2 linked regions of the Oryzias latipes genome follow. The protein of the gene in region 1 interacts with the protein of each later gene in a biochemical or structural test. Links are inferred from orthologs where the notes say so. Each region holds a gene or a part of one and is shown in the gene's direction. Other genes may lie near its edges.

Evidence for each region. The genes of interacting proteins can lie anywhere in the genome.
Region 2: the proteins of eif2s2 (region 1) and eif2s1 form a complex in vitro, tested with the Homo sapiens proteins (2 studies listed by BioGRID and IntAct). The link is inferred for Oryzias latipes from reciprocal best matches to the Homo sapiens genes EIF2S2 and EIF2S1.

What each region holds. Positions count from the first base shown.
Region 1 is NC_019865.2:7,389,246-7,394,939, reverse strand, and holds the start of eif2s2 (eukaryotic translation initiation factor 2 subunit 2), read left to right. Parts: upstream 1-2,121; 5' UTR 2,122-2,237; coding exon 2,238-2,252; intron 2,253-2,995; coding exon 2,996-3,176; intron 3,177-3,276; coding exon 3,277-3,389; intron 3,390-3,481; coding exon 3,482-3,614; intron 3,615-3,682; coding exon 3,683-3,783; intron 3,784-3,950; coding exon 3,951-4,099; intron 4,100-4,208; coding exon 4,209-4,265; intron 4,266-4,363; coding exon 4,364-4,449; intron 4,450-5,104; coding exon 5,105-5,280; 3' UTR 5,281-5,694.
Region 2 is NC_019882.2:5,866,491-5,871,972, forward strand, and holds the start of eif2s1 (eukaryotic translation initiation factor 2 subunit 1), read left to right. Parts: upstream 1-2,190; 5' UTR 2,191-2,368; intron 2,369-3,274; 5' UTR 3,275-3,276; coding exon 3,277-3,517; intron 3,518-3,627; coding exon 3,628-3,707; intron 3,708-3,775; coding exon 3,776-3,927; intron 3,928-4,000; coding exon 4,001-4,107; intron 4,108-4,177; coding exon 4,178-4,275; intron 4,276-4,368; coding exon 4,369-4,512; intron 4,513-5,111; coding exon 5,112-5,237; 3' UTR 5,238-5,482. Other genes in the region: atp6v1d (V-type proton ATPase subunit D), read right to left, coding at 1,981-2,021. UniProt on the Homo sapiens protein: Member of the eIF2 complex that functions in the early steps of protein synthesis by forming a ternary complex with GTP and initiator tRNA. This complex binds to a 40S ribosomal subunit, followed by mRNA binding to form a 43S pre-initiation complex (43S PIC).

The sequences.
Region 1 (5,694 bases):
CTTTCTACTTATAATCAGCAGGTGTTACTGTACTGGAAACTCATATTCAAACATAACTTTAGTCCACACAACAATCCCATATGGAACTTTCAGAATATTTTGTGTAGGAACAAATCAATATTTTACAAAAATTGGATTGATAACGGTATTTGGTCATTATTACACATTATGAATCATAATGGAAACATGATCTCATTTGAAACTTTTTCCAGTAAGTTTAAATTGTATGATAGAAAACTATACAACAATGTGATGAAAGCAATCCCTCAGAATTTGATCCAAATGTCCTCTAGTCTGGTTCAAAATGTTCAAGTTCAGCTTCCATCTCTGTTGTTTGATGGTCGACCGCTTAACTAAAAACTTCCAAACTCATTTATACCATCTTTGTTTGTTAGAGATCTGTTTCCAACATCTCACAAAAATCATTCTATGTCACAGCATTACACAAAAGAAGAAATATGCAAGTTAAGATCTCAGTTTATTAAATATCCAATTTTTCTAAAATACAAAGAAATCCATTTTAAAATTATGAATGCAGTCTATCCATGCAAGGAACTACTAAATATACGTTTTGGTTTTCCAGAAAATAACTGTTCTTTCTGTGACATAAATATAGAAACAATCGATCATCTGTTTATTGAATTGTTTGCATCTGTTTATTGTTTATTGAATGTTAACAGGTTTAGGGAGGATTTTTTTATTTGTTGGTACTCCTCAAAGTTTCCTTTTCCTATTTCTACTCAGTTACAAAACATACTTCATTACTTGGAGTAGTTTCTGCAGATCATTGATTTGATTTGGCATTTAATACTTAATTTCTGAGAAAGTCTTCATTCATAAGAGAAGATTTTTGAAAAACCGAACTATTATTTAATACGTTTCATAAAGAGATCTGTTTATATATTAAATTGCTGAAATTCATGAAAAACAAAAATGCAACAAAACTGTCCATTTTCATTGAAGACCATATGATGTATGACAATCCCTAGTATTGTGAACTACAATTCTAATGTTATTTATTTCCATTTTAATTATTTTCCTTTTTATTTATTTCTGTTGTACGGTTAGGATTAGGGTTCTAATAAAGAATTAAAAAAATGTAAAAAGAAAACAACAAAAAACAACTAGAATCTTTTGGATCACTTGACATCAAAGGGGGCCCAGTTCTTGCCTTTATTTATTTTTTAATCTTTTGTCATTTTTTCTGTGAAACTGATTTTCAAACTCAGTAATTCAACCCCGTAACATGTAAATAAAATGGACAACTTCTACTTGCAAAGTAGTTTTAGTCTTTTAAATAAGTATGTTAAATCTGAACTTCATGACCTCTTCATAATGTTCAGTACATGAAGCAGCAGCCATTTTGTGCAAAAATCTCAACCCAGTCACACTCCACTCTGTTGTGTTTTAGTGCAACGGGGTTGAGAGACTGTGGCAAGGTTGAGATTTAAGAACTTTGATTGTTTGATAACGCAAGTATTTTAAAAAATGATCATTTATTACAATGGAAATTGCCATTCTGCTTCAGGCTGAACACAATTTCTGTTTCGTGTGAGTGGCAGAGAAGGAATCCAAGGGAAAATATCCACCCTTCACACTCACAGCTTTGAAACACGTCATACTTCAATTTGAGTCTGATTTTCTTATGGTTAATTAGTTATCATTATATACATAAAGATAAAGGAAAGTCCTAACACTGAATTTCATGATTAAGAAACTATACATAGGTCCATATTTGTCCCTTCAACCCTGTCACGATCTTCAACTGTTTCAACCCCGTAACACAAATATTATCAGAAAATAATTATTAAAAATAAAATAAATAAAAAAACATTTATGGTTTGTTTACATTTTTCCTAAAATATTGAGAATATCATATGATTTGGTTTTTAACAATATTCTTCAATTGCGATATACATAGAAAAAAATAAAATTTCAGTAAAAAAAATGACAAAATTTGACTACAAACTAATTCATTTTGACTAATGGAACAGCATTTTTATTTCCCTTAAAAAGTTGCAACAGTTTGTTTTGTATTGCATCAAATATTGTTGCTAATTCTTTCTAGTTGGGTGACGTGAGTCATGCGCCGTCGCAAAGAAAAGACGTCAAAATTCCTCCTCTTTGCGATTGCGCACTGTGGTCCGTCGCTGATGCAAGAAATTTTACGCGGAGATCTGAGGCTGGTCGAAGGATAAGAAGTTCTGTGATTTGTATCGTTTTTTCATTGTGCAAACATGTCGGGAGACGAGGTGAGTCTTCTTTGATTATCAACCATTATTCGCTGTCAGTGCCGTGACTTTTGGGATGCAGTTAGCGGAACTTTAGGAGCCGATTGGTGTTGAGGTGGGGCCTGGCTCCACACGATTCCCCTTGGCAGCGGCAACTCTCACATGGTGGCAGCTGGGCTAACAGCGGCCCAGACAGACGAATTAAACAAGAAAATGTCCAGCTCACCGCTTTTTGTTAAATATTTACTAGTAGATCCACCCTTATGGAACCTTCAACGTCGAAAAGACCAGTTAATTGATACAAAAAAGAAGTTAATGTTAGCTAGTAGTTAGCGAAGCGCGCGACGCTAACCGACAGTCACTTCTGTGTTAGCAAGCCCAAGCTACTCCGACTGTTCTGTGAAGAACAGACGATGACACAACTACCTTTTGTGTTTAAATACATTATGTAACTAATTTAGATAACAGAGTTGCTACAACTCTTCTGCCATTATGGAAATCTGAGAGCACAAATAACAGGAAATCCGATGTCACGTATTTATAACTATTCTGTGTCCTGCAGCCTGCCTGAACTGCTTAACTTGCTATGTGATATGCTGGTAAAATAATCATGTTTTAACCCAGATCAAACATGTCCGATTTTTAAACGGGTTTCATTAACTACAATTACTCTCCATGTCAAACTTCAAATTTTTGTAGGTATGATGTCGGCCTCATGACTGATTTCTTTTTTTTACCCCCCCCCCCCCTCATTTCATTTGTAGATGATTTTTGATCCTAACATGACCAAGAAGAAAAAGAAGAAGAAGAAGCCTTTCATGGTGGATGAGGAAGGAGGAGAGGGCGCAGGAGGAGAAGAGGCGAAAGAGGGAGAAGCAAAGGAGGTCGAGCCAGAGGTTGAAGAGAAAGAAGTGGATCTAGAAGAAGATGAAAGCAGGAAGAAAGGTTGGCAAAATGAATGTTTTCAAGCTGAACTAGACTTTACAGCTGCACTATTATGAATTGTTCTTGAGATTTTCACTGCACGCTACTTACTTGACATCAGTTAAATTTCTTTTAGAACCATCGGATGATTTGAATGACCTGAACTTTGCCAACCAGAAGAAAAAGAAGAAGAAACCTAAAAAAGTGTTCGATGATTTAGAAGAAGAATTAAAGGTGAGTTTTCTTTTTCTCCAACCAGTACCATATTCTGCAGCATCTTTACATGTTTCTCTAATTCAACTCTCTGTTCAATTCTAAAAATCCAGGAATTAAAAATTGAAGGCGAACAAACAAAGGCGCAAGAGGAGGACCTGGATTTGGTTCTTCCAACAAAAAAGAAGAAGCCAAAGAAAAGTGACTTTGATGAAGGAGGGAAAGAGTTGTTGGAAAACGATGAAGGTAGACATCAATTCCTGTTTGGCACATGAACATAAAGAAGCTGTTTGTGATTTTGATATTGTCTGCAGCACTGGAAGATGATGAGAGCAAGATCAGTGATGGGATTTCTTTCAGCTCCTCTACAGGACCTGCCTGGGCAGGCTCAGAAAGGGATTACACCTACGATGAGGTAAAAATCACCCAGAGTGTACAGATGTGTTCTGCAAATCTTGCTATTCGTATCCTCAAATGCATAATCTAACAACATCAAACCCCTCAAAATACAATTTTTTTTGGTAACAATGTTAGGATCTTGCCCTGTTTTTAATTCAACCCTATAACTCATGTCTCTTTCAGCTCCTAAATAGAGTCTTCAACATCATGAGAGAAAAGAACCCGGACATGGTGGCCGGAGAGAAGAGGAAGTTTGTGATGAAGCCTCCTCAAGTGGTCCGAGTGGGAACCAAAAAAACCTCTTTTGTCAACTTCACAGACATCTGCAAACTGTTAGCATCCGACTTTCCTTTTTTTATTTTATTTTTTCGCTCTCCTTTTATTTTTTTTATTTTTTCCCACGTAACTCTAAAACTGGCGTGTCATTCGTTTTGAACACAGGTTGCATCGTCAGCCTAAACATCTCCTCGCTTTTCTGCTGGCTGAGCTGGGAACGAGGTATCTGGAAAGCATAAACTGAGTGTAATTTTTTTTTTTTTTGGTACAAACAGTTTATGTCTGTTTTTCTAAAAACAAATGTTTTTGTCTGTAAACAGCGGCTCCATAGATGGAAATAATCAGCTGGTGATCAAAGGCAGATTTCAACAGAAACAGATTGAAAATGTGTTAAGAAGATACATCAGTAAGTCTAAAGTTTGTGGTTTATTACAGCTGAGTTAACCCTTTAAAACTCCGGTGTTGGCCTTCTTTCTGACAATCCCCATATTGGGATTAATAAAACCTTCTATTCTAAAGTATTCTATTCTAACTACTGTAACTCTTCGTCCGTTTATGCAATTACCATAAGGTAATTCAAGCTAATTCTAAAGCCTTCCGCAGATCTACAACACTTTACAGCAGTGACGTGCTTTCCCAGCCGATATAAATCAGGTGATTCTGTCTTGGAAAAAAGTGGCTTTGCACAGTTATTTAGCACTTAGCATTAGTAATGTGTTGCATATCAGTGCGTAGCCACTATGAAAAGCCGCTTTCTCTGCGTCAGAATCAGCTGATTCGCGGTGATTGTGTGAAGTGAATGGTCAGTGAGTTACGGTATGTCAGAGAGCACATGTTCTTTAGGTGGCACCGGTGACATTTCCAGTATTAAAGGGTTACCAGCATGAGAAATTTCAGTAACTAATAATGAATTAAAGGTATTTGGAGTTCGGAGATAAGCATTTTAAAAATTTTCACAAAGGAATTTACTAAACATAGGTCTTGTTGTGAGTTTCTAACATTACCTAGACCAATCACATTCTGTGTGCATTAAATAACTGAAACTTTTCTAATTTTTGCAGAGGAATATGTGACATGTCACACCTGCCGCTCTCCAGAAACCATCTTGCAGAAGGACACTCGTCTTTATTTCCTGCAGTGCGAGACCTGCCACTCCCGCTGCTCCGTGGCTAGCATCAAGGCCGGCTTCCAGGCTGTGACTAGCAAGAGGGCACAGCTCCGCGCCAAAGCCAACTGAAGGCCGTCTCTACTGGGCTCCCCGTCTTCTCTTGGCTTGTTTCTTTCTTTGAAGAATTTCCGAAGCTGGGGTCGGCTGCCCCTCTTTGATCTACTAAAAGGACTCTCTGAATCAAACTGTGGGAGAGTTTGCCTTTAGTTGTCATTGCTGGACCAGGTTTCGTGCGGAGAGGGAATGTATCTAAAACCAGTTTTGGTAAAGGCACCATGTTTGTCACATTCACTAAGATTGAGTGCAGTTTGATTTTTGTTTGGCTGACAGACTCAAAAGAAAAAATACTTCTCATTTGCTGTGATTCTTGTTTTCTTGAAGAAAAGCCTGAATACCCGTTTTGAATCCTTTCATTCTTCTCCCACTTCTTCACACAATAGACACATTTCAGAAAAGAAATTTTTCCAGAGTAAGTCAAGTTAT
Region 2 (5,482 bases), on another chromosome or scaffold:
ATAATATATCACATCATTTAATGCATTCTTTTTGCAGTCAAAAAATTTGCAACTATAAGAGAACTTTGCAAAAAATGTATAAATAACTACAGTAATATTTTCTCTTTTTCAACTCAAAAGCACTTTAAACTAATAGTTAAAGACAGTGTACAAGATAAAAAGCACAAGAAATGTTTTGAAAAACCGCCAAAGGTACATAACTAAAATGTAGAAAAATCTAGAATTTGAAAAAGTCATAAAAAAATAAAGGCAGAAAAAACATTTTGCAAGATCAACAGGTGGGTTGTGTTGTTTGAAAAACACAAAGGAGGCCTGACTACTCTGCGAGGACAGCAAAAACCACCATTTTGGAGTAAAACAGAGAATTCTGTCTCATTTCTAAGGAGTGTTGTGACCAAAAAAAATGTTAAGAAACACATGGACTTTACCGCTTTTTTGATCTGGCTCTAAGACTTGAATTTATTGACTTGTTTTTGCTTTTTTTTTTTTTTCCATTAATGGGTCCAAAAACCAACACTTGTGTCTGAATCTGTTGGGTTAAAATAACCTGCAACATTTGAACTATTGAACAAGGAAAGAAAGACAAACAGACCAAGGCTGCAGAAAACGCCTTTGTTTATACAGACACTTATTTATGTGCTGCACAAAATAGTTCCCAAACAAAAATGTAGTGATATTCATGGAAATCTAACAGCGCCCGTTCATGTTTGGTGTTACACCCCCCCCCCCCCCCCCCACACACACACACACACAAACATACACACAAACAAAATCTTCCGGCGGGCGCCGTGTCACGCACTCAAGAACGCACGCAGCTTGTAATGGAAAGGAATAATTAGAACGCAGTAAATTTGTCGTATTTCCTGGCAAGACAGAAACTTCTATTGTAGAATGAGGATGTGTGTGTGTTTCTGAAACAGCGCACGTGTTTGTGTGTAGATAGAGTGTGCACGTGCTGCATGCTTCTCAAAGAGGAGAGAAGGACAAGAGTGATAAAAGGTTTCCCATAGAAACCCTTGAAGTCTGAACACAGGACTAGCAGAAAAAGTAGGGCATCACCGCACCTTTTTTTTTTTAAAGGTTTTTTTTTTTAAGTTTTGCATTACTGATAAAAATATATATATATACATTTTGTGTGATTGTTGAGCCATTCATTTATGAAATGTAGCTTTTATATATTTATAAGGATTGAATAATAACAGTGTTAAGATCTTTTTTGTAAATAACTAACGTTTAACGTACGCGATCCTTTCAAAATAAAATACATGTGAGTGTCAAATACGCTCCTCCTGCTGCATCACCTTTACTTGCAATTATAAGAACTTTGTCACTAAACAGCAAGAAAACAATATTGTGCATCTGAAGATAAGAATATGTGCTTTACACTTATTCTAAAAAAAAAACTGCTCTGACACATTAAACCTTATGACATCTGCCTGCTTTTTCAAAGCCAAAGAGCCAAAATGGAAGAATAAATGAGCTGCTTGTGGCTCAGGGACCTCAGGTTGCAAACCTCTGCTCTGATGTCATGTAGGTATGTTATTAGAACTCTGACAGAAGGGCAAACACACAAATTTAACGTTTTTTTTGGTCTGGAAAAGAGTCGCCAAGCTCTAAATTTGAAATGCAACCAAATTCTCGGTATTTGTTAATCTCAAAAACAACTATCTAATTTAACACGAATTTGAGTCCCCTTGTATGAGCTAAAGCAACATTTGCACTGGAACAGGTTTCTTCAGACAGAAAAACCTGTGAGTGACCAACGCAAGATGTTGGAAGCATCACATGACACACAAGGCGGCTCCTTCCTCTTTAGCGTCCAGACAGCACGAAAAGTCGAAACCATACGTGAGAAACACGTTTATGTAAGAATCAATCACAAACAAATAACCGATAATCAGCTAAAAACCCAATGAATCAATGAAATAATGTAGTTAAGCTAAGTGAGTTAGCAACTAGCAAGAAAAACAAGGTGCTTACATCCTGGACGGGAAAACGTCGATCCTTTCTTTTCCAGACATCTTCTCGGCTTTTGCAGGATACGATCTGAAAACGGGGCGTTGTATAAAAATGTGCTAAACAGACAAACAAACAACCGTCTTCATTCGGGATTAGTTGAAAGACTAAGGTAACTGCCGTGATCTTGTTCGTCCGTGATGATCAGCTGGCCTCTGGTCATGTGACTGCCCCAAGCTCGCACTGCACATGCGCGAAGCGATAAGCGCTCAAGATCTTTTCCGGGTCGAGCAGCTAGTCCACCTATGAATGCGAGCTAACGGCCTCAAATAATTAGCTGAAAGAAGTAGAGGGAACCAATATTTAGAGCACATAACATTCAAGTGTGTAGTTCTGTAAGCCCACGACACAGGTGAGTTGTTATTGACAGAAAAGAAGTTCGATGTTTAGCGTTAAAACAGGCGGTAGTCACAGCTAGCTGGCTAGCAGTTAGCCGCAGCTACATTGCACGCGCCACACGTGAACCCGGTGGTTAGCCAGGCAGCTAGCACGCATTAAGTCAATCCTTTTGTGTTTAAATAAATATCGTAACTCTTTGTGATTGATTGCGCATAGATAGGCACTTTCAAGTAGTCAAAGTGACCTTTTACTCGTTTGATAAATGCCTTGTTTTGGTTCTGTTCGTGCTTGTTTGTCCGCATTGCATCATTTTTATTAAAATATGAAACAACGAAAATAATGGATATTTAAAGCCTTATTAGAACATTACTAGATATATTTTAACAATATAGCATTATGTGTTATGGAAGAATAGATCGTTTCACTTCCTAGAGGAAATTACAGGATCTTAGATTCTACTTTATGGTGGTAGAAATTCAAATTTTTAGGCAATTCAAACTAAATTGACAAGTTCTTGATATGACTGATTAAAAAGTAGATACATATTGATTGGTCCATTTAAATGTTCATCCCAAACAGATGGTTTTTCTTTTTGCTGTGTTTACCAGAGCTAAAAATCCACTTTCATGCAATCCAGTCAGTATTTTTCTTAGTAGTTTTCCTATAAACTTCTATCTTAGCTATTATAACCTCAGTACTCCTTTTTATATGTTTACCGTACCTCATTTTAAATCCATCTCAATCTGGCTTTATATCACAAAAACCCAAATGAGCTCACCATTCTGTTAACATTCTTCAAACTTTGACTAGAAAATAAATAAGAATGAATTTATGCTGAACAATGAAATGAAAATGTTTCTTTTTAGCATAAGATGTGTTAGATTTGAACACGGTTTTGATTTTTGATGTTTTTCGACAGTGATGCCGGGGCTCAGCTGTCGATTTTATCAGCACCGGTTTCCAGAGGTGGAGGATGTTGTGATGGTGAACGTGCGTTCCATCGCAGAGATGGGCGCGTACGTCAGCCTTTTGGAGTACAACAACATTGAGGGCATGATCCTCCTGAGCGAGTTGTCCCGTCGGCGTATCCGCTCCATCAACAAGCTCATCCGCATAGGTCGCAACGAGTGCGTTGTTGTCATCCGAGTAGATAAAGAAAAGGGTGAGTGTTGCTGAATGTCTTCATAATGAGGGGTAAATCTTTGCAAGTGAATGCCTTTTTTACTGTTTTCAAATTCCTTTCTTATGTTCATTTTCTTCTTTTTTTTCCAGGATATATTGATTTATCAAAAAGAAGAGTTTCTCCAGAGGAGGCCATCAAGTGTGAAGATAAATTTACCAAATCTAAAACTGTATGTTTTTGTTTTTTTCTTTATGAAACCTTTGTTTTCATGCTGAGTAGACTGTCTTGTGTTTGCAGGTGTACAGCATTCTGCGACATGTGGCAGAAGTGCTGGAGTATACCAAGGATGAGCAGCTCGAGAGCTTGTACCAGCGCACAGCCTGGGTGTTTGATGAGAAGTACAAGCGGCCCGGTTATGGAGCTTATGACGTCTTCAAGCAGGCTGTGTCGTAAGTCCAAACAGAAAAGTCACAAATATATAAATACTTAACCTTTGTATAAGTTTTCAGCTTTTTCCTCCAGAGATCCTGCCATTCTGGATGGCCTAGACTTAACAGAAGAGGAGAGAGCCGTTCTGATCGATAACATCAACAGGCGACTCACTCCACAGGCCGTCAAAATCAGAGCAGGTTTGTTCTTTTTGGTCATTCCTGTTCGACAACAGGAGAACATCTTAATGACTCTGCGTCTTTGTCGTAGACATCGAGGTGGCGTGTTACGGGTATGAGGGCATCGATGCGGTGAAGGAAGCTCTGAGAGCCGGTCTCGGCTGCTCCACAGAAGCCATGCCCATCAAGGCGAGCCACAAACTGCGACTTGTTTTTTAAAATGTTCTCTGAAAACTGTTTAGGTTGTTCAACCAAACTTTTATTGTGGTCTTGTTGTCGTAGATCAACCTGATCGCTCCTCCTCGCTACGTGATGACGACCACCACCTTGGAGCGCACAGAAGGTCTGTCTGTCCTGAACCAGGCCATGGCTGCCATCAAGGAAAAGATCGAGGAGAAGAGGGGCGTCTTCAACATCCAGATGGAGGTGAGAGACTTTTATTTTGAAACGTTCACTTTTTGTTGTGCACAAGATAACACAAAACATGAACAAGAAATGTAATTAGACTCAAAATGTGAAAGGAAACTTTTCATTTGAGGCTGTCAGTATGCAATTCCCAGTCAACTATAAGATCAATTTTTGTCTAAAAATGTGGAATTTAACCGCAGCTTGCAATAATTTTAAGTACACTTAGTCAAACTGTCACTTAATTTGTTATTTTAAAAAAATTAATGATGAACTTGTATTTTTATAACCGCAAAATACCACAATAAGACGTCATTTAGTTTAACTTTAATGTTTTTCAAAACAAAAAACAAAACAACCTGCTACTTAAATGTTTAAACAAATGCCCAGAAATAGGATTAGAAATGTTATTAATTTTGCAAATGTTTGCTATTTAGAATGATTCTGAACAATCTGTGTATAGAAACTATTTTGATTCAATGTTTTGAATATTTGCTGAAAGGTCTGTTGCACTTTAACATTTACTCTTAGCATGAAAGGAAGCTGTGATCGATTTGTTCTCCATGAGCTGTTGAATTTTCTCAGCTTTAGAGTTTTTAAACTTTTCTTTGTCCCAACAGCCCAAAGTGGTCACAGACACAGATGAGACGGAGCTCGCCCGGCAGCTGGAGAGGTTAGAGCGCGAAAACGCAGAGGTGGACGGAGATGATGATGCTGAAGAGATGGAGGCCAAAACTGAAGACTAACCCCGTCGTCTGAGAGAAGCTGATGAAATGTGGACCGACTCGGCCGCAGTTGCTCCGCCCCGATTTCACGACTGAATTTTCTGGTATTTTACTAGTTTATTGGAAAACATCCCTGTTTTTAGTATCGAGAGGCAACAAAAGCAAAGCCTTAGCCAAACATGGAGATCCAGATGGTAAATTTAACACATGGATTCGAAATAAGATAAATTGAAAACGGTGGCCTTCACTCGCCGTCCTTTGACTTC